Arabidopsis thaliana: one gene and its partners. The protein of the gene in region 1 interacts with the protein of each later gene in a pairwise test. Each region holds a gene or a part of one and is shown in the gene's direction. Other genes may lie near its edges. The genes, in order: MYB112, AT1G03350, AT5G18450 and AT1G35490.

Region 1 (6,245 bases):
ACAATTATTTATTGGTTCTGTTAGTAATGCTTTTACTATAAAATTTCAGAAAGTAAGGTTAGTAATAATTCTTCATTCTGTTTTATGTTCTTTAAGTCGACTCCTAAAACTAAAAAACTTAATCTTCTTGGTGTAACAAAGTTTTTGATCAACTATGCGTCACGAAATTTCTTAAACATAAGCATGCAATTCAAATCACTCGTTAAAAGCACGACTGATCCTCATTCATAAAAAATTATACCGAATATTCAGAACTTTCTATTATTGCACTTACCAATTTTGATGCCGCCCTCAAAGCTTTGGCAACAAAGGACAATGTCACCTTAAATGTTAAGAGTCTCAGCAGCGATAACCGATGAAGACACATGTAAAGACGATTTGTCAAGTGTTATATCTAGTCCACAATTTTAAAAGAAGATTTCTAATATGAAAATCTGTCGGCCATAGTTTTGGTTATTTCTAAAATATTACCTAAACATAATAAAATATTATAAATCGATATATTGTTTTATGGATTAAAGAAAAAAAAAACAAATTTCCTTTTCATTATTTTGTCAAAACTGTATAACATGGCAAAAGGTATGGCAAAGAAAACTATCAAAAACGATAAAACCATGGCAAATACTCCACTAATAACATATCAATCATAGGTAATGCAATTTTGTTTTCTCTTTTTTTTTTAACTACGTATAATGGTGTTAAAACTTTTTTTGTTTTTTTTTTTTGGAAAACTTTTGACCTAGTGTAAAGTTTGGCAAAAATGGTTTGATCTAAAACTAGTTTCATCGAGATTTTACATTTTGTAGAACTCTGATTCGGCTTTAATGAGTTTATGGTTAGAGACATGGGTTAGGTTAAGCTTTACTCGATTTAGAGTTTTGAGGTTCGCTGCATCTTGCTTTCATGCTATCAAAGCATTTTTATATTGTTACATTCTCTTGAGTCTTTTTTTTGTTTTGTAATCCTTTTCTATTTCTAATTAAAAAAACTAAAATTTATAGCTAAAACCATTAAAAAAAAGTAACCAAGAGTTCCGAAACTAAAGAAAACCCAAAAAAGTTAGTAACTTCAAAAAATTTAACTAGTTTCTTTCATCAATCTGTATTTATATATGTTCTAACTTTTTTTATCAAAACCAAACCGAATCTAAACCGTAAGTCAAAATAAATTAAACCAAAATTGCATCAAATTGAAATCATGACTAAAAATTACTCCTTTTGTCCCTTTTTATTGATTTTCTAGAAACAATCACAGATTAAGTAAACATATTGATTTAATTTTTGTGATTTAATTTTTTAATAATTCTAAACTAATGATATTCAATTATTTGTCTTGAAGTTTAAAATTCATCAATAATAACTAATAAATAGTGCATAGAAACCTAAAAAATCAATCTTTTTGAAACAATTTTGTTTCTCTAAAAATCAATTAATAAAGAATAGGGGGAGTATTATTTTTGAAGTATACTTTAAAAAACACCTTTATTTTGATAAATATTAACAGAGAATGTCATTACTTATATTCATGTATTCAAATAACTTTACTATTAATTTTTATTATCCGTATAACCAAATCAATTGATTGTTTTTAACATTAACTATAAAATTTGAAATATACATATAATGTTCCAAAATTAGTAATACATATTAAAAGATTGTGTTAAGAATTAAAATAATGATTCGCAATCATCTTTGTTTGATTTTGTTTTCTATTTGTTTTGAATCATCATATAAAGTTAATAATAAACTATTTTCTACCTATATTCTGATTCAAAATTTTAGAATTAGACATATATATTACTTAAATAATAAAAAAGTGTGTTCAACGTCTCAATTTCACATGGGCTAAAATGTTTAGAAAATGATTAAGAGTCATGTTATAAATAAATCTAAATCTAAATAAACAAGAAGTTTAACTTAACAAGTATCTAAATTTAAAAGTTTGTATATGGTTTAATTCTGTTTTTAATTGAACTGTTTAATTTTACTGGATATAGTAAATTTTAAGCTTTGAAAGTTTTGAAATATTATAATTGATATATTTAAACTCAGTATAAAGTTTAAAATAAAATGAATATATATAAAAGTCTAAAATAACGCAGTACATGTTATATTTTGAGACTGGGTATATGAAAAATGAGTTTAAATCGACATTAAAAAAATTAAAAGTATCATTAACCGACATTATAATACGGTGAAATTCTCATTTTATTATTTGATTAACATCACTAATATTAAATATGTAGAATTACACTAATTTAGTTAAGATTATGTGAAAACAAAATTGTCCCGTGTTATATTGAGGGTTAAATTCTAGTTTGGTTTAATAAAAGGAAACCTGAATCAAAACTAAACAAAATTATATACTACAGAAAAAAGGGTTTGTTGCATCAACTAAATTATATCGATAAATAAATGATGTTAATTTAAATTACTTCTTCGGTTACTTTTACTTACTTGATAGCTTATCCAACTCTTAACTATAGCATGTGCTTAAGGAGAAACTAAGAACTCTTATACTATTACTTAGAAATTATTATTTTGCGAAAATTCCACTAATATCTTCGGGTAATAATTTATCTATTAACATGCCGATTTCAAATGCTTGGTATTTATTTATAATATATACAAAACAAAACAAAAAAAAATCTATAAAACCCACCCTGAAAACTCGATCACTTTATGTCCATTCCGAGAACTCTCTCCCTCATTAATTAAAATCTTTCTCAGAGCAATCTTCTCACAAGTTTCTAAGAATCTCAAAGCATGAATATAAGTAGAACAGAATTCGCAAACTGTAAAACCCTTATAAATCATAAAGAAGAAGTCGAAGAAGTCGAGAAAAAGATGGAAATAGAAATAAGGAGAGGTCCATGGACTGTGGAAGAAGACATGAAGCTCGTCAGTTACATTTCTCTTCACGGTGAAGGAAGATGGAACTCCCTCTCTCGTTCTGCTGGTAACTTCTTAAGCCTTTTGCATATATATATACAGAATATGTGATCATGCATGATATATAATATGTAATGCGTAAATCGATCGATTCAGATCAATTGAAGTCATCATAACAAATCCTTATATGCCCATATCATATCTCTAGAGTGATTGTTAAACTATCATTGATTTGAATGGTTAAAGTTTGGTATTGAAGGATTCTTTATATGTCAAACAAGTAGTCCGTTTTTGTTTTTTAAACATTTAGACTGAAACTTTTTTTTTTCTTATTAGAAATTCGTTTTGGATTTTGTGGATTTTAATATGATCATGTGAAGTTTAGTTTAGAGTTTATTTATAACTAACTGAAATTAAATGGAGTAGATATAAAAACTCGTCCACATCTTATCAATATGTTATTCAATTTCTATCACATCATATGTGAGTGATATACATATATGAATGTGATTTTTCGTAACTATGAGAATACTTTTCTTATGGCTGTGACTTCTCCATGTCGGCATAATTTAAATTCCTCTGTAGAATTGGTAAAGTAAGAAAGAACAAGTTGACATATTCATAGTTCATTATTATCATTAAAAGTGTACTTTCGTATGAAACAGTTTGGTCGGTCCAAATTTATTTATTTTTTCCTTTGGAGTTCTTTTCATATTAGCCTTTTGAGTGTGGAACTCAAACACCTTTCCCAACCATCCAATTCCATACAGCCTCATGGAATTGTTATCTTTATTGATTTGGGAAATTGTACTAGTGTCCATATACTATTGACTAGTGTACATTCCAGTTAATTCATGTTTTTATACTAATTGTATTTATATTGAAATCATTTACTATTGAGACAGGACTGAATAGAACGGGGAAAAGTTGCAGATTGCGGTGGCTAAATTATCTCCGGCCGGATATCCGCCGTGGAGACATATCCCTTCAAGAACAATTTATCATCCTTGAACTCCATTCTCGTTGGGGAAATCGGTATGAAACCTTTATTTATATCGACATAGACATAGTCATATTGTCGATACATTACTTAAAATAGAAAAAGGGACACATATCGTTGAAGAGAGCAAATTTGGAACGTCTCTATGAAATAAATAACTCGTTATTCAATATTGTATTAGTAGATAATTGACAAAATCAATTTGATGCGTATTTGAAATTTCTTGGTTGAATTGTGGTTACTATATGAAACTTGTATCATAGTTGAAATTAAGGTACACATCAACGTCTTTTTTTATCAGAGTAACACTAAAAAAACTGATTAATCTAGTACTACAATAGAACTTATAAATAATTAAACCCTCCGATTCATTATAAATAATATTTTTAGCAAGAGTCGGTTTTAACAAAAACAATTAATATACGTACAAAAAGTATATTAGAAATTTAATATATTTTTTGTATGTATAAATGATTCTAATAAAAAACGGAATGAGAGTTTAATTACGATGTTCTATAAAATTAATCGTGTTTTTAATAATGGAGTTAGTTTTGATATTTTTTCTATTGTGAAGGTGGTCAAAGATTGCTCAACATTTACCGGGAAGAACAGATAACGAGATAAAGAATTATTGGAGAACACGTGTTCAAAAGCATGCAAAACTTCTAAAATGTGACGTGAACAGCAAGCAATTCAAAGACACCATCAAACATCTCTGGATGCCTCGTCTCATCGAGAGAATCGCCGCCACTCAAAGTGTCCAATTTACCTCTAACCACTACTCGCCTGAGAACTCCAGCGTCGCCACCGCCACGTCATCAACGTCGTCGTCTGAGGCTGTGAGATCGAGTTTCTACGGTGGTGATCAGGTGGAATTTGGAACGTTGGATCATATGACAAATGGTGGTTATTGGTTCAACGGCGGAGATACGTTTGAAACTTTGTGTAGTTTTGACGAGCTCAACAAGTGGCTCATACAGTAGGCATTTCATGGGTTTATTAATGAATGTAATGTATAATAAACATAAACTAATCATTCAAAACAAAATTAAAGGTTTTCCGGGTTTTTTTCCATTTTTTTATTGGTTTAATTTTATTGTGATGTATGATTTTACAAAACAAAAAAAAAACTGCTTAATTAATAATATCAAAAACATATATATTGTTACACAGAAGCATGATTTAGATAAGACTATAAGAGCAAAGAAGAGAAAAACAACAACATGAGTTTAGCAAAAAGTTTATGTGGTTCCTGGTTCATTTAATAACTCCCATACGATCACTTATAATCTACCATATATGATCATCAATTAAGTTTTATAATATCACCGCATTATTAAAAACATTATGAGTATTTGATAACATATCCCAAAGAAATTCATTACATACTTATTTAACTAATGGGTTGAAATAGAGATTGATGCATGATGTGTATATGAAGTGAACATCAAATAATTATTTTACTCTAAATAAATTATTAATTTGGATTTGGCCCTCTCATCTAAACTCAGAGTTGAAGTGTTCATGAAATCTTGCATGCTCGAGACAATGAGACATATTGCTTAGAGCACTTAAAGATGGTATCAACTCTTAAAAATATGCAAGTAAAATTTCGTCGTCTCAAATATCATTTTTTAAAAATAAAAAAAAAACTTTAGTTACATACATGTTGAATTCTCTAAATCGGTTATGTAGTTTGTGGTGCTATTATTGTTTTGGAAATTTCTAGTTTGTAGGGCCTATATTTTCTTGTTTGGCTAACCAATAATATCGTTAGTTTCATTTAAAATCACATATTAATTTAGTTTGTATAATCATTAATAGTTTAACTAAAAGAAAAGGACGTGAATGATGTCTCCAATTCCTAATCATGATTAAGATACTATTAGTTACTCCAACTCATGTAACACTTTATCGAGATTATATACGTCCAGAGGGGACGAACCCAAATAAGTTACTCTAGTTAAACTTTTAAATAAATTATTTCTCAGTGTTTTTTTCCACTACGTCGAGTAAGGAGGATCACAGATTCACCCGAACCCTATTTTATAATCAAAGTATTAATTGTTTTATTTGTTAGAATATATTAAATTAATCATCGAACACGTCTATAGACTAAATGGAAACAATCCAAAAATATCAAACAATGCATGGTCGATTTTTATTCTAAACTTATCTTTTCAATATTCTCTTTATAAGAAAAAAGCAGAACAATAGTAATTGAATTGGAGTGAAAAAAGGAATGAATTGGCATTACAATTTTGTAAATGGAATACTGGCCTTTCACACACGAATATCTTTGCTTTGTTGGATTATAGAATCATTGATTTTGGCTTTGATAACTATATTATATA
Region 2 (5,738 bases), about 17 Mb from region 1:
ATTCATCTCTTCTTGCTTTTGAACTATACTCATCACCTTTTTAATCCATTACACATGAACGACTTAAGTTAAACACACACAAAAAAGCGTAGAACATAGATACGAAATTGTTTCATATGCAAAAACCATTAAAGTATCAAAGATGTTAGACCAAAATCATCTAAATTATCTGTATACATGCAAAAGAGAGATGATTTCATCTCCTAGTTGTAGCTTTCAGAAACGTGATTCAATCGCCTAACTAATGCAATCCCAGAAATACGCCAAAAAAAAAAAGTAAACTTTTTGCCTAGTAAATGTACAGAGATTCCTCAAATCTAAAGCGTACTACTTTCTGATTAAGTGCTTAATCGCAATGCAATTCAGAACCGTTACTGAATCGAAATTAATTAAAAACCCCAAATAATCGCACGATCATTCAACCCACAAACAATCACGAATACACCAAAATGGATTTAAAAAAGGCCGTAAACTGACCTTCAACGAAGACAATAGCGACTTTAAGGAGAACGGCGCCGGAACAAAAATAGCGGGAAATAAGATCGGTAGCGACAAACAGAGAGTGAGAAATCGAAGAAGAAGAATATTGTTTTGGGAGTGTGGAGCGAGCGAGAGAAATTGGCCGTAGAACACTGTTTCGTGAATGAGAGAAGAGGTTTGGTAATCGCTGTTATTACTTGGATTCTCATGAGGGTATTTTAGTCATTTCCCAATTATCCCTTCTCCGAGCTAAAAAGGGCAGCGAATCTTTTCTATGTTGTTTCTGCAACTGTAGATCCTTTCACAAAACGAATTTCAGCTACAAAAGTCGAAACCGATAAATTCATGAATGAAAGAAGAAAGCCGTCTCCAAAAGACATAACTCGACTAATCTAATCTGATGTACAGTTAATAGTATCAAACACATCCATCATACTACATATCTCAATCAGATTAAAATTCGAACTTTCAATAGAAGCTGAGTAACAAACAAGACCGAATGATCTAATACACGTTACAAGTCTCTGATACATCAGTGACAAAAAGGGGTAGTTTTCACTTTTTCCTCTTTGTACGTCTTCTTTCAGCTTCATTCTCTGCTACCACAACGTGAAACTCTGATCCAAGCATATCATGTATGTCAATATTCTTTGAGTTACTGAGGTTAACAGTCTCCATGATTACTTCTAGTGTCACGGTGAAGCCTAGATTAGACAAGACACGTATCGCATTCCCGATTCTGCATATGGTTTGTCGAGTCTCGAGTGGAATATGGCTTTGCTCTTTTCCTGTGGAGGAGGATGAGATCATTTCCTCATCTTTCTGATCATCTATTGCCATAGGATCTCTCACTTCGACATGTTCTCCAACCCATATGAAACCATTGCAGCCAATAATCAAATCAATCCCAAGACTTTCTACGTAATGAAAGTGATGTTTGCTTCTCTTAACCAAGTAAGGATCGACCTTCAGAAGTTGTCCCTTCTCGAGCTGTAGCGATTCATGGATTAATCAATGTTCAGAGGAAGAGACTAGCGAAAGGTATAACTACATGAGCATGTGACCAAATGAGAACCAACCTTGCCATACTTCTGACTTCTGGCTTGTAACTGCAAGCTACCATCATGCTGAAAGTTGCGTACTTCAGCCTAAGAGTTTGAACAAACCAAAGAGGGAACCCTTTTAGTCAGGTTGACGTAACTGTTAAGATATGTAAAGATTGGAACATTACTAATCACAGGACTTACACATACGACATCATGCTCTACAAAGATATTCCGCATATTGAGTTCATCCACAGAGGTTCTTCGCCTCTGGCAACAACAATAAACTTATATCATTGAAGCCAAAAGCAATCATCCAAATGGCAAAATATCAAGAATCAAACTGTACCTGAATACCATCAGGCATGTTCATGGAAGAAAGCATCAGTACTCCATCCTGATTGAAGTTGAGCTCCACTCTCCAACGTTTTTGAGCAACCTGAATAAGTAAAGATCAATCCAGTAACTGTGCAATGTGATTGAAACCTTTATGTTACTCACTCAATCCGATTTCAAAAATCCAAACACCAAAACAAAAATCTACCTCAATGACACGGCCTACCACAATATCCCCAACTTCAGGCTTGTACCTAAAACGTAGATCATCAAAACCATCAGTTCTACTTAATCTCAGAGTAGAGAGTCCATTCTATTCACATTTTCTGGGAAACTAAACAAATTCAAAGATCAATCACAGACCTGGCTCGCAAGGTGCGTACATAGACAAGCTTATCCACACGCTCCACTACTCCACAGACCGTCGCGAGCAACTCACCATCGACCTCGGAAGTTCCATGTCCCCTTTAATGAAAAAACCAATCGTGAAAACGCAATTTGACAAAAATTTCAATCCAGAAGGGAGAATGAGATGAAATTACTTGAGGAAGGCATCGTCATGGTTGACGGGAATAGAGTCGGTGACGATAACAGAAGCGTCAGAGTTAGCCGACGACGACAGTGATTGAAGCCGCTCGATTGCTCTCTCAAACCTAACCTTCTGCGTCTGGCTCAACGGTAACTGTAGCTTTCTCATCACCATCACAGACACTCTCTCTCTTTCTCTCTATTTAGCTCCAGCAACACAACAATGGCGATGCAAAACGAGTTTGGGACTTGGGAGAGAAGAAGAGCAAAAACCTTGACGTTAGTTCCCTTGAATGAATTCTAGGGTTTTGTGTTATTTGTTGGACTAACATATCCAACTTCTGGCCCATTTATAAAACTTCTGGCCCATTAATCTGATAATTGACGCCAAATAAAGTATTATTTATCTTCATTAAAAAAATGGGAAAAAAATTAGACGTCTCTGCAGCGACAAGCTTCAAGTCTTTTGTGATCTTCCTATTTCTGACGCTAATTCGAATCCTTCACTCTTCAAATTGATTCTTTCACGGATCAAACAAATTATCTGAGAGTACCGATTGGTAAGATCTGAGCTTTACGCTATGAATTTCTTCAAATCCGTCTTCACGGAAGACCTAGATCCTCCAGAAACCGAATCCGAATCCGATTCACCGAAACACAGCGAAGAGCATGAACATCCAGAGCAAGAACATCCAGAGCAATCTGAATCTAACGACGACGGTGGATGGAGCTTCGGTGGTCTGATGAAAACTCTAGCCACCAGATCCGAATCCGTGATTGAAACCTACCGACGAGATCTCGAAGAATTTGGCACAGGTTTGAAGAAAGAGATCGAGGTGGCTCAGGGATCGCTTGGTACGGTGGGACATGCGATTGATGAGCTTGGGAACACGGTGCTAAAAGGTACGGCTGAGATTATTGCTCAAGGTAAGGAAGCGATTTTAGCCGCTGGTAATGAATCTGATTCTTCTGATAACAATAGTAGTCAGAGTTTTGGTCGTCGTGATAGCTTCAGTTCGAAACCATATAGTCGTTTCGATGCTCAGATTCGTGCTGTTCAAGGAGATCTCAACACTTACTGTGAAGAGCCTGAGGATTCAGATGATTACAAAAAGTGGGAATCTGCGTTTTCTCTGGATGGAAAAGCTGAGGAGATGGAGAAATTGTTGGAGGAAAATGGTGATATGAAAGGAGTGTATAAAAGGGTCGTTCCGAGTATGGTTGATCACGAGACCTTCTGGTTTAGGTATTTCTATAGGGTTAACAAGCTCAAGCAAGCTGAGGATTTAAGGGCTAATCTTGTGAAACGAGCCATCTCTCTGGATGATGAAGAAGAATTGAGCTGGGATATTGATGATGAAGAGGAGAGCAGCGAGAAAGTTGTTGAAGCTACCAAAGATGTTTCAAGGTTGAAACTTGAAGGGAATGATGGTATGGGTGGTGGAGATGTGAGTGAAACTGTGAAAGATGAAGTGGAAAGTACATATTCAGTGGCTAAAGTGAGCACGCAAGATGAAGTGACAAGTGCAGATTCAGTGACTGAAGTGAGCAATGTTGGTTTGAAGACAGATAAAGATTCTGAGGAAAAGAAGGAGACTGATAGTGAGGAAGTTCCAGAAGAAAAATCATTTGTTGATGCTGCTCCTCCTGCGTCTGATGAGGCTCCAATCCAAGATTCTGTCAAACCAACATCTGATGAGGCTCCAATCCAAGATTCTGTCAAACCAAAATCTGATGAGGCTGCTCCATCCCAAGACTCAGCTAAACCAGATGTGGCTGCTTCTTCATCAACTCAACAACCATCTGAAGAGGATTTGGGATGGGACGAGATCGAGGATATGAGTAGCATAGATGGTAAGGAAACGAGTCGGTCTGGTGGTAGTCCAAACAGAGCTGAGCTGCGTAAACGTCTGAGTGCTGCAGAGGAAGATGAAGATTTAAGTTGGGACATTGATGAAGATGACGAAGAAGAATCATCATCATCCAAAGCTTAATGTTAGTTTTAAAGTGGTGTGCTTTCTTACTTTTGCCAATCCTTTTACTTGTTTTTACAAGTTTCTGGCGCTTTGCCCCCATTCTTCAGTTGTTTTTCTCTTCAACGTTTCTATTTTACATTGATTTGAAAATATGTTTTTAAATTTTACTTGAGAAGGTGGTTTGAGGAAAGTTTGAATATATTCATCTTGCGATAGTCATTCTCTCCAGTTATTTTGAGTATATCAATCAACTGACCCCTGCGAATTCGGAGCTTTAATTGTGTCAAAATTAATCTCAATTTCTGTCCTTTGTGAAGAACCAAAAAAGTTAAATATTACAAATTGTAAAACTTTTAAAATTAAAACTTCTTAAAACGTTTTAATATTTATAATTTTAAAACTCTTATGAAGTTTTATATAATATATATATTTAAAAATATATTAATACGGGACGATATAATACAATATATTTAAAACTTTTTTGAAGTTTCAAATATTATATAGATTTGAACTTTATAAGAAAATGACAAAATGATGTTTAATTTCACAGAACTAGGATATATGGTGAGACGGTTTGGATCAATATTAATACGGAATGATATACTATGGTAAAATTCTAAAATTAAACAAAATTTACAATATTAATACAAAAAATAACTTAAAATTTCAGAAATTTAGTTATATAAATCATTTCGAGATGTATCATACATAAAAAAAAGCAATAGCATATATCTATAAATCATCTTTAAAACAAAAAAATAAAAATTTTTGAGAAAAATATAGGCTCGTTGTGTACTTCTTAATATGTTTATCATTTATAAATACTATTAACTAAAATAAAATCTTTAACTTGTTAACAAAAATATAAATACGTTGTGTACCCGGATGAATATCTAGTTATTAACAAAACTGTACCATTTGTTTTGTAGAATTTTACTTATTATTTTATTTTTTGGACCAAACCAACTTATTATTTATTGGCATGTCTAGTTAGGGAAAATGTTTCAATTGAACATGTACCGTATGTGTGCATGTATAAATAGAAATTTTATGATTGGATTTTAATAATGCAACGAATCGATGTGAAACTATTAGTGTAAAACCACAATCGACGTCCTTTGAGAATTTACTGGTAAGAAGAACACAGAAAAGGATAGAAAAGGATCTGGATGGATCCAAGAGAAACCCTCGCGTGAGTAATTAACCCTCACTTAAACCCCAATCACCATTTCAAGGCGAGAAAGCAAGTTGTTTCTTGAGTAATCCAAGTTGTTTCTATTTTGCGATTTTAACGGGTCAAAGATTTGCTCTAAGGGAAGGAGGTAGAACAGTTGGAGCCGGTGTGGTATCAAAAGTGATGAGCTAAGTCGCTATA
Region 3 (4,817 bases), on another chromosome or scaffold:
GACAATACTACACCCTCAGTTAATAGAAGCTAGTCAAAAATAATTTCCCTTAACTTTTGATTGATTGATTTTTTATATATATATAACTATTGTTAGATTCATTTTCACGAAAGTTTTTGCTCTATGCTCTTTACATCGTCAACACCTAATTTTGTAAACTCTCTTTATTTGACATCTTGTGCAATGGAAATAAACTAATTTTCAGTTTAAGAACTTCAATTATTATTGACCGTAAAGTGCAAAACATTTTTTAGTTATTAGTTAACTACTTTAATTTGTTTATGTAGAACGGATTGAGGACATTTTCTCCAAAAAGCAATGATCGAATGTTGATTAGTATAGTTAATTATGTGTACAGTGTAATTACACTGTGTGATCAACATACATTGATTCACGTAAGTTTTTTTTCAGCGAAAATTGTTAAGAATATTAAGAAATTCGAAGTTTTTTTCCAACTAGGGAAATAGATAATCCCATGTATGATTGAAACAAAAACAGAGGATTTAATAAGTAGTGGTGTAAAAACAGATACTTCGTGCCGAAGCACCTAATCAATGGTAGAGCCATGTGTTCCGAGTCGTTTGCCAGGCCACCCTCGATCTTGACACCTGGCATATGAACATGACATATTCCATTTTCGCATGTACGTAGACTTATATACTTCGCATTTATTTTGTTGTTTATCTTATATTATTACTCCTATCCAAAAACTAAACGGTGAAACTTATAATCTAAGTAAAACCTCGAAAACGAAAACCTAAGAATCGTATACAAAATCTGTAAGTATTACATATGGATATGACTCGAGCTATTTGGAGTGTGGTTTTATTCAGGTTTGTGTTGTAAATTTGTTAAGAAAAACAGTTTTCGGATGTTTCAAAAAAAAAAAAAAAAAAGAGAAAATAATAAATCAATTAATTATTGTTAAATCTAACATTCACTAAATATATTAATCTTTTTTTAATCAGTTTTTGTTTAAAAACTCACAAAAACTAATTTTAAAAGATATTATTTACATATCATGAAACAGTAGAATATAAATTTTTTGTGTCAGATTATCCATTTTTATATTTTGCATTAGGAAAAATTAATGATGAAAAGTTTATGAATTTTTATTACCGTTCTGAAAATCTTCCACATATATTAGTTTATTTTATATCTTTTAAAATTATAATTTTTTTAATTATGCATGTGTATTTATATATTAGGGAATTACCGTACAATCTCTATAAATTAATAATTGATAAATTAATAAACACGATAAATTAATAAATTTTGTTAGTCCCAAGTCGGACCAATGTAAAAATTAACCAAAATCGATAAGATAATAAGATAATATTTTTTTTTGAAATTTCTATGTAAAATTATAGTCTCAATAATATTATAAATTAATAATTATAGATCTTAAGAATATATTTTAAGACTAATTTTTATATGAAATTTTTGTTCAAATTATAATTACAACTCTTTTTAAAATACAACTCGTATGATTTATGTTTTACTCACATAACTATTTGCATATTTGATTCGTCATAATTGATTTTGTAAAATCTTTTATTTGAGAAAGCATTGGTAAGATTTGTGTAAAGAGAAATTGGATTAAGTTTCATGTTTGTGTTTACGTTCACGTTAATATCGTAGATATACAGATACAATATCTTACCGAAAAATAAATAAAAGAAGTCAAGGAAAAATAAAAATCTGACATAATAATATATGCAAACAACAAATCATATAGAAAATTAAATTAACAGACATTTTTTAAAAATTATAGTATTGTATTTTACGTAAATATTTCTATAAATTAATATTTAATATTTATATAATAAATTATAAATATTAATTTATAAGATAAATTAATATTACTATAAATTAATAAAATTTTATTGGTCCCAACATTATTAATTTATAAAGTTTCTACTCTATATGTTTTAAATAAACAAAAAAATCAAAAAATACATTGGATATATAACATAGTATCTCCTTAATTTTCACTTTTTAAGGAGAGGGGCTTAGAGAGAAACACAAACACGTGAGTCATCATCAAGACAGTGGTCGGGGGTCACTTTCGTGTAACACAGACATTAAATCAAATAAACAAAACGAGAGATCCTTTACCTTAGTGTATACACACAGAACACACGTACACACTCATATTTACATTTGCCACGTAAGAATACGTATACTCCTGACGTGTCCTGTATATATATACACACGCACACTTCAATTTTTCATTCACTAAACCAGATTTAATTTGAGACTCTCAAAGAAACACCATGGAAGAAGAGCAACCTCCGGCCAAGAAACGAAACATGGGGAGATCTAGAAAAGGTTGCATGAAAGGTAAAGGCGGTCCAGAGAACGCCACGTGTACTTTCCGTGGAGTTAGGCAACGGACTTGGGGTAAATGGGTGGCTGAGATCCGTGAGCCTAACCGTGGGACTCGTCTCTGGCTCGGCACGTTTAATACCTCGGTCGAGGCCGCCATGGCTTACGATGAAGCCGCTAAGAAACTCTATGGACACGAGGCTAAACTCAACTTGGTGCACCCACAACAACAACAACAAGTAGTAGTGAACAGAAACTTGTCTTTTTCTGGCCACGGGTCGGGTTCTTGGGCTTATAATAAGAAGCTCGATATGGTTCATGGGTTGGACCTTGGTCTCGGCCAGGCAAGTTGTTCACGAGGTTCTTGCTCAGAGAGATCGAGTTTTCTACAAGAAGATGATGATCATAGTCATAATCGATGTTCGTCTTCAAGTGGTTCGAATCTTTGTTGGTTATTACCTAAACAAAGTGATTCACAAGATCAAGAGACCGTTAATGCTACGACTAGTTATGGCGGTGAAGGCGGTGGTGGCTCTACGTTAACGTTTTCGACCAATTTGAAACCAAAGAATTTGATGAGTCAGAATTATGGATTATACAATGGAGCTTGGTCTAGGTTTCTTGTGGGGCAAGAAAAGAAGACGGAACATGACGTGTCATCGTCGTGTGGATCGTCGGACAACAAGGAGAGTATGTTGGTTCCTAGTTGCGGCGGAGAGAGGATGCATAGGCCGGAGTTGGAAGAGCGAACAGGATATTTGGAAATGGATGATCTTTTGGAGATTGATGATTTAGGTTTGTTGATTGGCAAAAATGGAGATTTCAAGAATTGGTGTTGTGAAGAGTTTCAACATCCATGGAATTGGTTCTGAGAGTTTTTATTTATTACTATTATTTATCATACATATTTCTTATATTTGACTTAGGATTGTTTATTTGTTATACATCAATCGTGGGATTTTTTGTTTTCTCCTTGCATGTAGTGCTTATGTGTGTAAATAGGTTTGGGCATAATGTGAATTTTCTTACACGTTTTGTAAAAACAAATTAATAGAGATGAAGCAAGTTTCGAATGTGACACTATTTTTACTCTCATGTTCCTTGTATCAGATTATTTATCTTACTGTTTCCTGCGGACATATCTTCAAAACGAAAACACATATAGATTAATATCACAAATCCTTATACTGCTCATGTGTCCGGTCTTACAAATTTAAACATCAAACATCTTCATCACATGAGCTATCATCGCCATCCACATCATCGCCATCACTAAGGCCATCACATAAACCTTCAATTGAGGGATCTTCCATAGCATCTTCACAGCCAGTTTCTTTTACTGTAATCAAAGGTAACTTCAGAGGTTGCTCTGGAAACTCCTTCAACAATGAATTCATTACCATGAAGCGGAAGACCTGTAATAACTGGCTTTTGTCTCTCTTTATGTCTGCGCTTAGGAGCTTCTCAAGCAATGTAGGTTTTCTAGTCGTTATGGAAGAATCTTGAGACGATTTTTTGTCTTCCAATCTTGGTTTCTTATTATCAAACTTATCTTTTCTGTCATGTCTTCTCTTATTACGTCTATTATTCTGGAATCGTCCCTTTCGCCCATTGTTGTTTCCTCTATCTCCATTAACTTGTTCATCATTATTGGATAAATAATGCGAAGGAACTTCTGCAACTTCAACACCTAACTCAGCCTGCTTTGCTAAAACTTCCCGGAGTTGCTGCAATGCCAATAGAAAAACCATGAATCCAATAACTTTTCATTACGCGTTACATATATGAGCATAGATGCTTTTTTCACCATCATAACCTTCTGGATATTTAACTTGAAGGTGTATTTTGTTAGGCCTGAACTTGAAAACAAAACAAAAACCATAAACTACTGAGATTTCAGTTTCATTATTGGCCAGCTGATCTTAAAGGTGTGACTTGAGCTTCATGAAGATTTACTAACTTATAATTTTAGTATTCATATTTATACACCATAGCAGATCAGCTATAGCTCCTATTCACCTTTTCCTAAAATAGTTTAAGTGGAATTTCTCAAATTGATCCTATATTTCTATTAATGCAGAGTGTCTAGACCAAAATAAAGGGTACCTGACGACGCATTTTTGCTTCCTCATCAAGGATGCTGGCTGAAACATTTTTCTTTACTTTCTGCAAACAGGTAATTTAGCATTCAAAATTTTCACCAAAGGAGTGAATTTCAACAAATTAAAGCTGGTGGGAGAGGGAGAGCGACTCTAACCTTTTCAACAAGGAATTTCGTTGGATAATTCTTACGTCGAGCTTCACGCCATTGCTGAACTTCTCTTGGTGTATACATCAAAGCATATGATCTTCTCTTGGAGAAAAACAACATCAAAAAAAAATATTAGAGATTGGCTGACATGATAACAAAAGATGTAATCCAGATTAAATCCCATTCAATACTACGACTTATAAGGATCACACTGCTTCATGAACGTGAAAATTTAGGG
Region 4 (5,904 bases), 4.6 Mb from region 1:
GAATAAATTAATTTATCTCTTTAAGGATTAAAAAGTCAAATACTAATTTAATTAATTAAATTTAACATAAAAACGGAATACATTATTAATTTCCAAAAATAATAACCAATCAAAATCAACATATAAGATTTGATATCTAAATTTTAATTAATTTAATTTAATTAGAAAAATGAAATGCATTATTAATTTCCAAAAAAGTAACCAATTAAAATCAACAAATTAGATTTGATATCTAAATTATCATATTAATTTTTTATTAATTATTATAGTTCACTTCTCATCTTTATATGATTCTATTTTTGCCGAAAAATAATATCATCATTATAAAAAAATAATTTGAGTTTTTTCGCATATGTCATAATTTGAATTTTTAAAAACGAATATAAACTGTTCAATACATGAAAAAAATTATAACGGATGAAAAATAGATTTAAGAAAACTTTCTACTGAGTAACTGGTCATAATTTGAATTATTTCTATTCAATTTCATACATATTATATTGAAAATTTATAATCTTATATACTACAATAATTAATAACATATTAGATGTGATTCAATTTTTAATACAAGCTGGAAAATCCTAGAATTAACGGGTTTAGATCGATATTAATACAAGATGGTATACTACATGTCAAACTCTTAAATTAACAATCAAACTACAAGTGTATAATCTTAAACACTAAACAATATAGATAATATCAACAAAACATATACAACTCACAGTTTACTATACATTTAAAATCAAATAAAATAATATCATATATTTTTAAATCATCTTTACAATAAAAGTTTTTAGTTTAACTAAAATATAAGGCTACTTGCGGTATACTGCAGGTTAATATCTAGATTATAGGGCTTATTGGATCTAGAGATGGGTCATCAAAGATTTCCTAAACTGAAGCAAAATATACTGAATATTCAAATATCTATCTATTACCAAATTATAAACAAATAAGTTCGTAAACAATTTAATATTTTATTTACGAAATCAATTAAATCTTAATCACATAAAAATTAGCACAAAAAAAAATATTCAACAATTAAAAAATAACAAATCTCTGTGTTATATAAGTTTTGATACTATATTCGAATAAAGTGTAATATACCTTTTCAATTTGTATTCTTTAACTAATTTAAGCTAACAAATATATTTGCTAATCTTATACCTATCAAAACCGACAATCGTTTCTTATCTCTATAGTATTTTTGCAAGACTTTTTTGGTGGATTTGGATAAAAGTGCGTTCGGCTCATATGGTACATTCCCCTATTAAATAAATATGGTGCACTCCTATGTTATTAACTAAAATGTTTAGATTATAATTCAGAGTCATATCATTAATAAAAATAATATTAATAAATAAATGGCTTTTTGGCAAGACAGATTTAGAGAGACGGGTTTTTGAATCAACATTAATAAAAAAAATAAAATATAATTAATCCACCGTTTCAATACGGGTTAAATCTTTAATTTATTATTTTCTAAGACCACTAATATTAAACATATCAAATCATCCTAATTTAGAAAAGATTATATAAAACAAAAAATGTTATGTGGTATGTATAATGTTACTATATATAAAATTAAACTATAAAATATAAATGTATTAGAAAATGATACAATTTGCAAAACTTTTATATAAAAAATAATTCTTAAATTTTAAAAATTACTACTTAAAAAAAAATCACAGGACGGGTAAAGAAATTACAGAACGGGTTTTATTTTAGAATTGAGTTATATGGCGGATGTATTTGAATTAATATTTATAAAATTTTAAAATATTATTAATATGCTGTTTTAATAGGGGTTAAAACTTCAGTTTTTTAACAATTGTCTCATGGATTCGTGGTATAGCGTTAGTTAATAACAATTATAAATTGTAAAATATAAATATTTTATAAAATAAAATTTGCAAGTTTTAATATATATTACTTTTAAAAAATAAATCGTCCCGCGGTATACCGCGGATTAAAATCTAGTAACATCTAGTTATTTTGCTAACAACATTTCTCAAATAATAGTATAGAGATGGTATAGAATCTACAAAGTGCAAACTATCACTTATAATTATTTATCAAATTAAAGCTGATAACATTTCGTACTAAATTTCAGCTTTAGAGTTTAAAGTGCAAATTATTAAACATTTGAACATATCAATTTCTTAATATTTAACAAAGTTTCTCCTTATTTTTTTATAGTTCTCTTAAATATATATATATATATATATATATATATATATATTGTATATCTAGTACTTTATAAGTTCATAATAACATTAGAATTTTATAATTATGTAAATAGAAAAGATTATTAACTAAAAAAAGAAAGAAATTGTCCCACGTCATTACATTGTCAATCTCATATGATAGTGAGAGTAATATTTTGATTTTGCATCTATTAGAAGCGTGTAGATAAATCACATAAAAATATTACGGAGCTTACTATACAAATTCGATGAATAAAAAATGAAAGAATTCCTCGAAGCTTTTGTAGTATTGTGTACCAATAAACCCAGTCTGAATAAACCAATGGTGGAGTCTATTATGGGAAAGTGAAAAAGCAAAAATAACTGAGAAAATAATAGACCAAATAAAGCATAAGGACAAGAATTGTTGTTTTCACGAAAACCACGCAATGTAAATCATCAACATGGATTGTTTCAATATGGTATCTTCCTCTATTTAGTGATCTAGAGATTGTTTCTTGTTTTTTTTTTTTTTTGCATTCTAAGGAGAAGAGGTGATCGAAACCAACCACACGGGAGGAGCTTATGCCATTTTCCTCCCCGTGGAAGGTCTAACAATCACACGTCTCCTAATCTCGTACGTCTTCTTAGGTATGTTCTTTGCATGTTAAAGAAACTGTATCTTCAATTCTTGTCATTACATGATAATGGTTTTCTTATACATGTTTTGCTCATACCTTATAGGTTTTGAAGAATGGAAAATTTAAGGAGGTTGTCAAACCCGGGAAATTTCGGATTCATTGGAAGATCACAATCACGAGTTCCCCAAAAAAACATGGAAAATAACATTTCTCCTCCTAATAATATGCACCACCATAGTGCTTCTTTAGATGATCTTTTCACAGAAGACCAACCAGCTTGGCTCGATGAGCTCCTAAGTGAGCCAGCATCACCTAAGATTAACAAAGGTCATAGACGTTCAGCTAGTGACACAGCTGCTTACTTGAACTCAGCTTTAATGCCTTCGAAGGAAAATCATGTTGCTGGTTCGTCTTGGCAGTTCCAGAACTATGATTTGTGGCAGTCCAACTCTTATGAACAACACAATAAATTAGGATGGGATTTCTCTACAGCAAATGGAACTAATATCCAAAGAAATATGTCATGCGGAGCTTTAAATATGTCGTCGAAACCCATTGAGAAACATGTAAGCAAAATGAAAGAAGGAACTTCTACAAAACCAGATGGTCCTAGATCAAAGACTGACTCAAAACGTATCAAACAGTAAGTAGTCTTATCTTTGTCATGTGTACTTATAATAGGTTATTAAAATGTCCCACATCGATTGAGATTAAGATCTTTAGGCATTATCTGGCAATCCTTAACTCTTGAGCTAACTGTTGGGATAAGTTAGACCACATTCCTAATATAGGTTGATAAACATATTTCTGATGCGGTTTAATAATATACAATTTTATCGAAAATTATTAAAATGCAGTCAAAATGCTCATCGAGCGCGTTTGAGAAGGCTTGAGTACATATCAGACCTTGAAAGGACCATCCAAGTGCTACAAGTAAGATTCTAAAGGCTCGTGTATTTCTCGAAGTTCTTTAATTTCATTAATAATATGAAAAGATTCCTAATGTTATATTATACATGTTGGATTTTCTTCAATAGGTTGAAGGATGTGAAATGTCATCTGCCATTCACTACTTGGATCAGCAGTTACTCATGCTTAGCATGGAAAATAGAGCTTTAAAACAACGTATGGATAGTTTAGCAGAAATCCAAAAGCTTAAACATGGTATTTAACCTTTCATATCACTACTAAAATGGATCAAAATGCATTTATTTTGTTCTCTTGTAAAATTTTGATTTTGGTTGGTTAATACAGTGGAGCAGCAATTGCTTGAGAGAGAGATAGGAAACCTACAGTTTCGACGACACCAACAACAACCACAGCAAAACCAAAAACAAGTCCAAGCAATACAAAATCGATACAACAAATATCAACCACCTGTTACACAAGAACCCGATGCCCAATTTGCAGCCTTGGCAATATGATTTAGGAAATATGGATACATTGTTCAGATTAAGCTGAGCTCCTCTTGCTCTACCTTAATGTCCATACAACATAGGTGAACTTGATGTTTGTAGCCTTGAATGAAAACCTAAAAAAGCATCGTTATGTAAATCAAAATGTGGTTGCCCATATCCTCCTCTATTGCATTTCTCTCTATTTATGGCATGGTAGAGAATCTCTTGTCAAGAAACTTCATGTTATGTAATAACTTGTAATCCTTCTTATTTCATCTATTATATATATGAATAAGTAATTTTTTTGACAATTTCCTTTATCTATATATATACAAGTTGTGACCGATTCTAGTAATAAAAGGAAAAAAAAAATATATATATATATATATATATATATATAAATATTCTGTATACTATTTTATACACCAGTCAAGATAATATGAAAATTAAGATTAATATTTAAAAAATGAATTTACGAAAACATAGTAATTTGTTGGGTTTATGCAACAGTAAAAAAAAAAATCCTTTAAGCCGCCATTGTATTTTAATTTTACCCTCCATCTCAAAAAATGCATATTAATCATAGTAAGTAAAAAAACTGATATGAAATATAATTCTCATCCATATCTTTTAAAAGATTTTATGGCTACATACATTATATATATATATATATATATTTATTTTTAAATGGTCTTTCAGCATCGTCGGGAGAACTTCAAGTTGAGATACTATATATACAAACTTTACAAATTTGACAACGATTAAGAAAGATTGTATTGCGTATTATTTAGACTTTCAATAACTGATTTGCAGTATCATTTGTTATTTTGTTTAGTTTCTAACCCTAAGTTACAAAAATTAACCAATTTGTTCATATATTTTTTCTATTAGATTAGGAAAAATTCTCAAATCTAAATAATCTCCGAATATATAACTCTAACTAGAATTTAACCCGTGGTATACCACGGGGCAAATGTTTTATTCATATTTAATAATATTAAATTTTACGGTTTTAATTTAGTATTAAAGTTATATAATTTTATATTAATGTTGTAACTAAAAAATTTAGTGATGATAAAATAATAAAATAAATATTTAATCTGTGTTATATGAATCCAAACCCGTCCCGCTATATTTCATATCAATTCAAACTCATTCCGCTATATTTCTCATCTCATGATATTTTAAATTTTTTATAAGTTTAAATATTAATAATATTTTATAAAGTTAAAATATATTTCTCGTCTCATGATGTTTTATTTTTTTTTAAGTTTAAATATTAATAATGTTTAAAAATTTAAGATATATCAATAATAATATTTAAAAAATAAGAATTGTCTTTGTCTTTAATGTGATGATATTCTTTCTAAATTGTTACTTTACTAACACAAAAGTACTTTAAAAAGGTACTTCAAATTTTTTAATATATATAATGTTATTGTTTTGGTAAAAATTATTATAAATAAATATTTAGTTTAATCATAATTTGGGATTGATATACTTGTGCTTTTGACTAACTTTTTTTATTTTAATAGCCTAAATTTGAGCATTTTGTTAATATTATTTGAATGAGCAATATTAGATTAATAGATGTACAATTTATTTTTGTCAGAAAAAGAACAAAATTTAATAAAAATCAAAAAATAAAGTTTTAGGGAGTGATAATTATTTTGTACAATT

The links.
Region 2: the proteins of MYB112 (region 1) and AT1G03350 interact in a two-hybrid assay, tested with the Arabidopsis thaliana proteins (one large-scale study listed by BioGRID).
Region 3: the proteins of MYB112 (region 1) and AT5G18450 interact in a two-hybrid assay, tested with the Arabidopsis thaliana proteins (one large-scale study listed by BioGRID).
Region 4: the proteins of MYB112 (region 1) and AT1G35490 interact in a two-hybrid assay, tested with the Arabidopsis thaliana proteins (one large-scale study listed by BioGRID).

The regions. Positions count from the first base shown.
Region 1 is NC_003070.9:17,702,898-17,709,142, reverse strand, and holds MYB112 (myb domain protein 112), read left to right. Parts: upstream 1-2,682; 5' UTR 2,683-2,765; coding exon 2,766-2,958; intron 2,959-3,796; coding exon 3,797-3,926; intron 3,927-4,465; coding exon 4,466-4,874; 3' UTR 4,875-5,011; downstream 5,012-6,245.
Region 2 is NC_003070.9:821,477-827,214, reverse strand, and holds AT1G03350 (BSD domain-containing protein), read left to right. Parts: upstream 1-2,804; 5' UTR 2,805-2,968; coding exon 2,969-4,381; 3' UTR 4,382-4,633; downstream 4,634-5,738. Other genes in the region: AT1G03365 (RING/U-box superfamily protein), read right to left, coding at 1-33; RRP4 (ribosomal RNA processing 4), read right to left, coding at 1,036-1,470, 1,560-1,628, 1,728-1,793, 1,873-1,962, 2,068-2,113, 2,223-2,324, 2,402-2,562.
Region 3 is NC_003076.8:6,114,480-6,119,296, reverse strand, and holds AT5G18450 (Integrase-type DNA-binding superfamily protein), read left to right. Parts: upstream 1-2,255; 5' UTR 2,256-2,276; coding exon 2,277-3,200; 3' UTR 3,201-3,273; downstream 3,274-4,817. Other genes in the region: NUFIP (GATA zinc finger protein), read right to left, coding at 3,549-4,055, 4,435-4,494, 4,586-4,676. UniProt on the Arabidopsis thaliana protein: Transcriptional activator that binds specifically to the DNA sequence 5'-[AG]CCGAC-3'.
Region 4 is NC_003070.9:13,058,916-13,064,819, forward strand, and holds AT1G35490 (bZIP family transcription factor), read left to right. Parts: upstream 1-2,633; 5' UTR 2,634-2,837; intron 2,838-2,930; 5' UTR 2,931-2,940; coding exon 2,941-3,470; intron 3,471-3,684; coding exon 3,685-3,760; intron 3,761-3,864; coding exon 3,865-3,991; intron 3,992-4,081; coding exon 4,082-4,251; 3' UTR 4,252-4,540; downstream 4,541-5,904.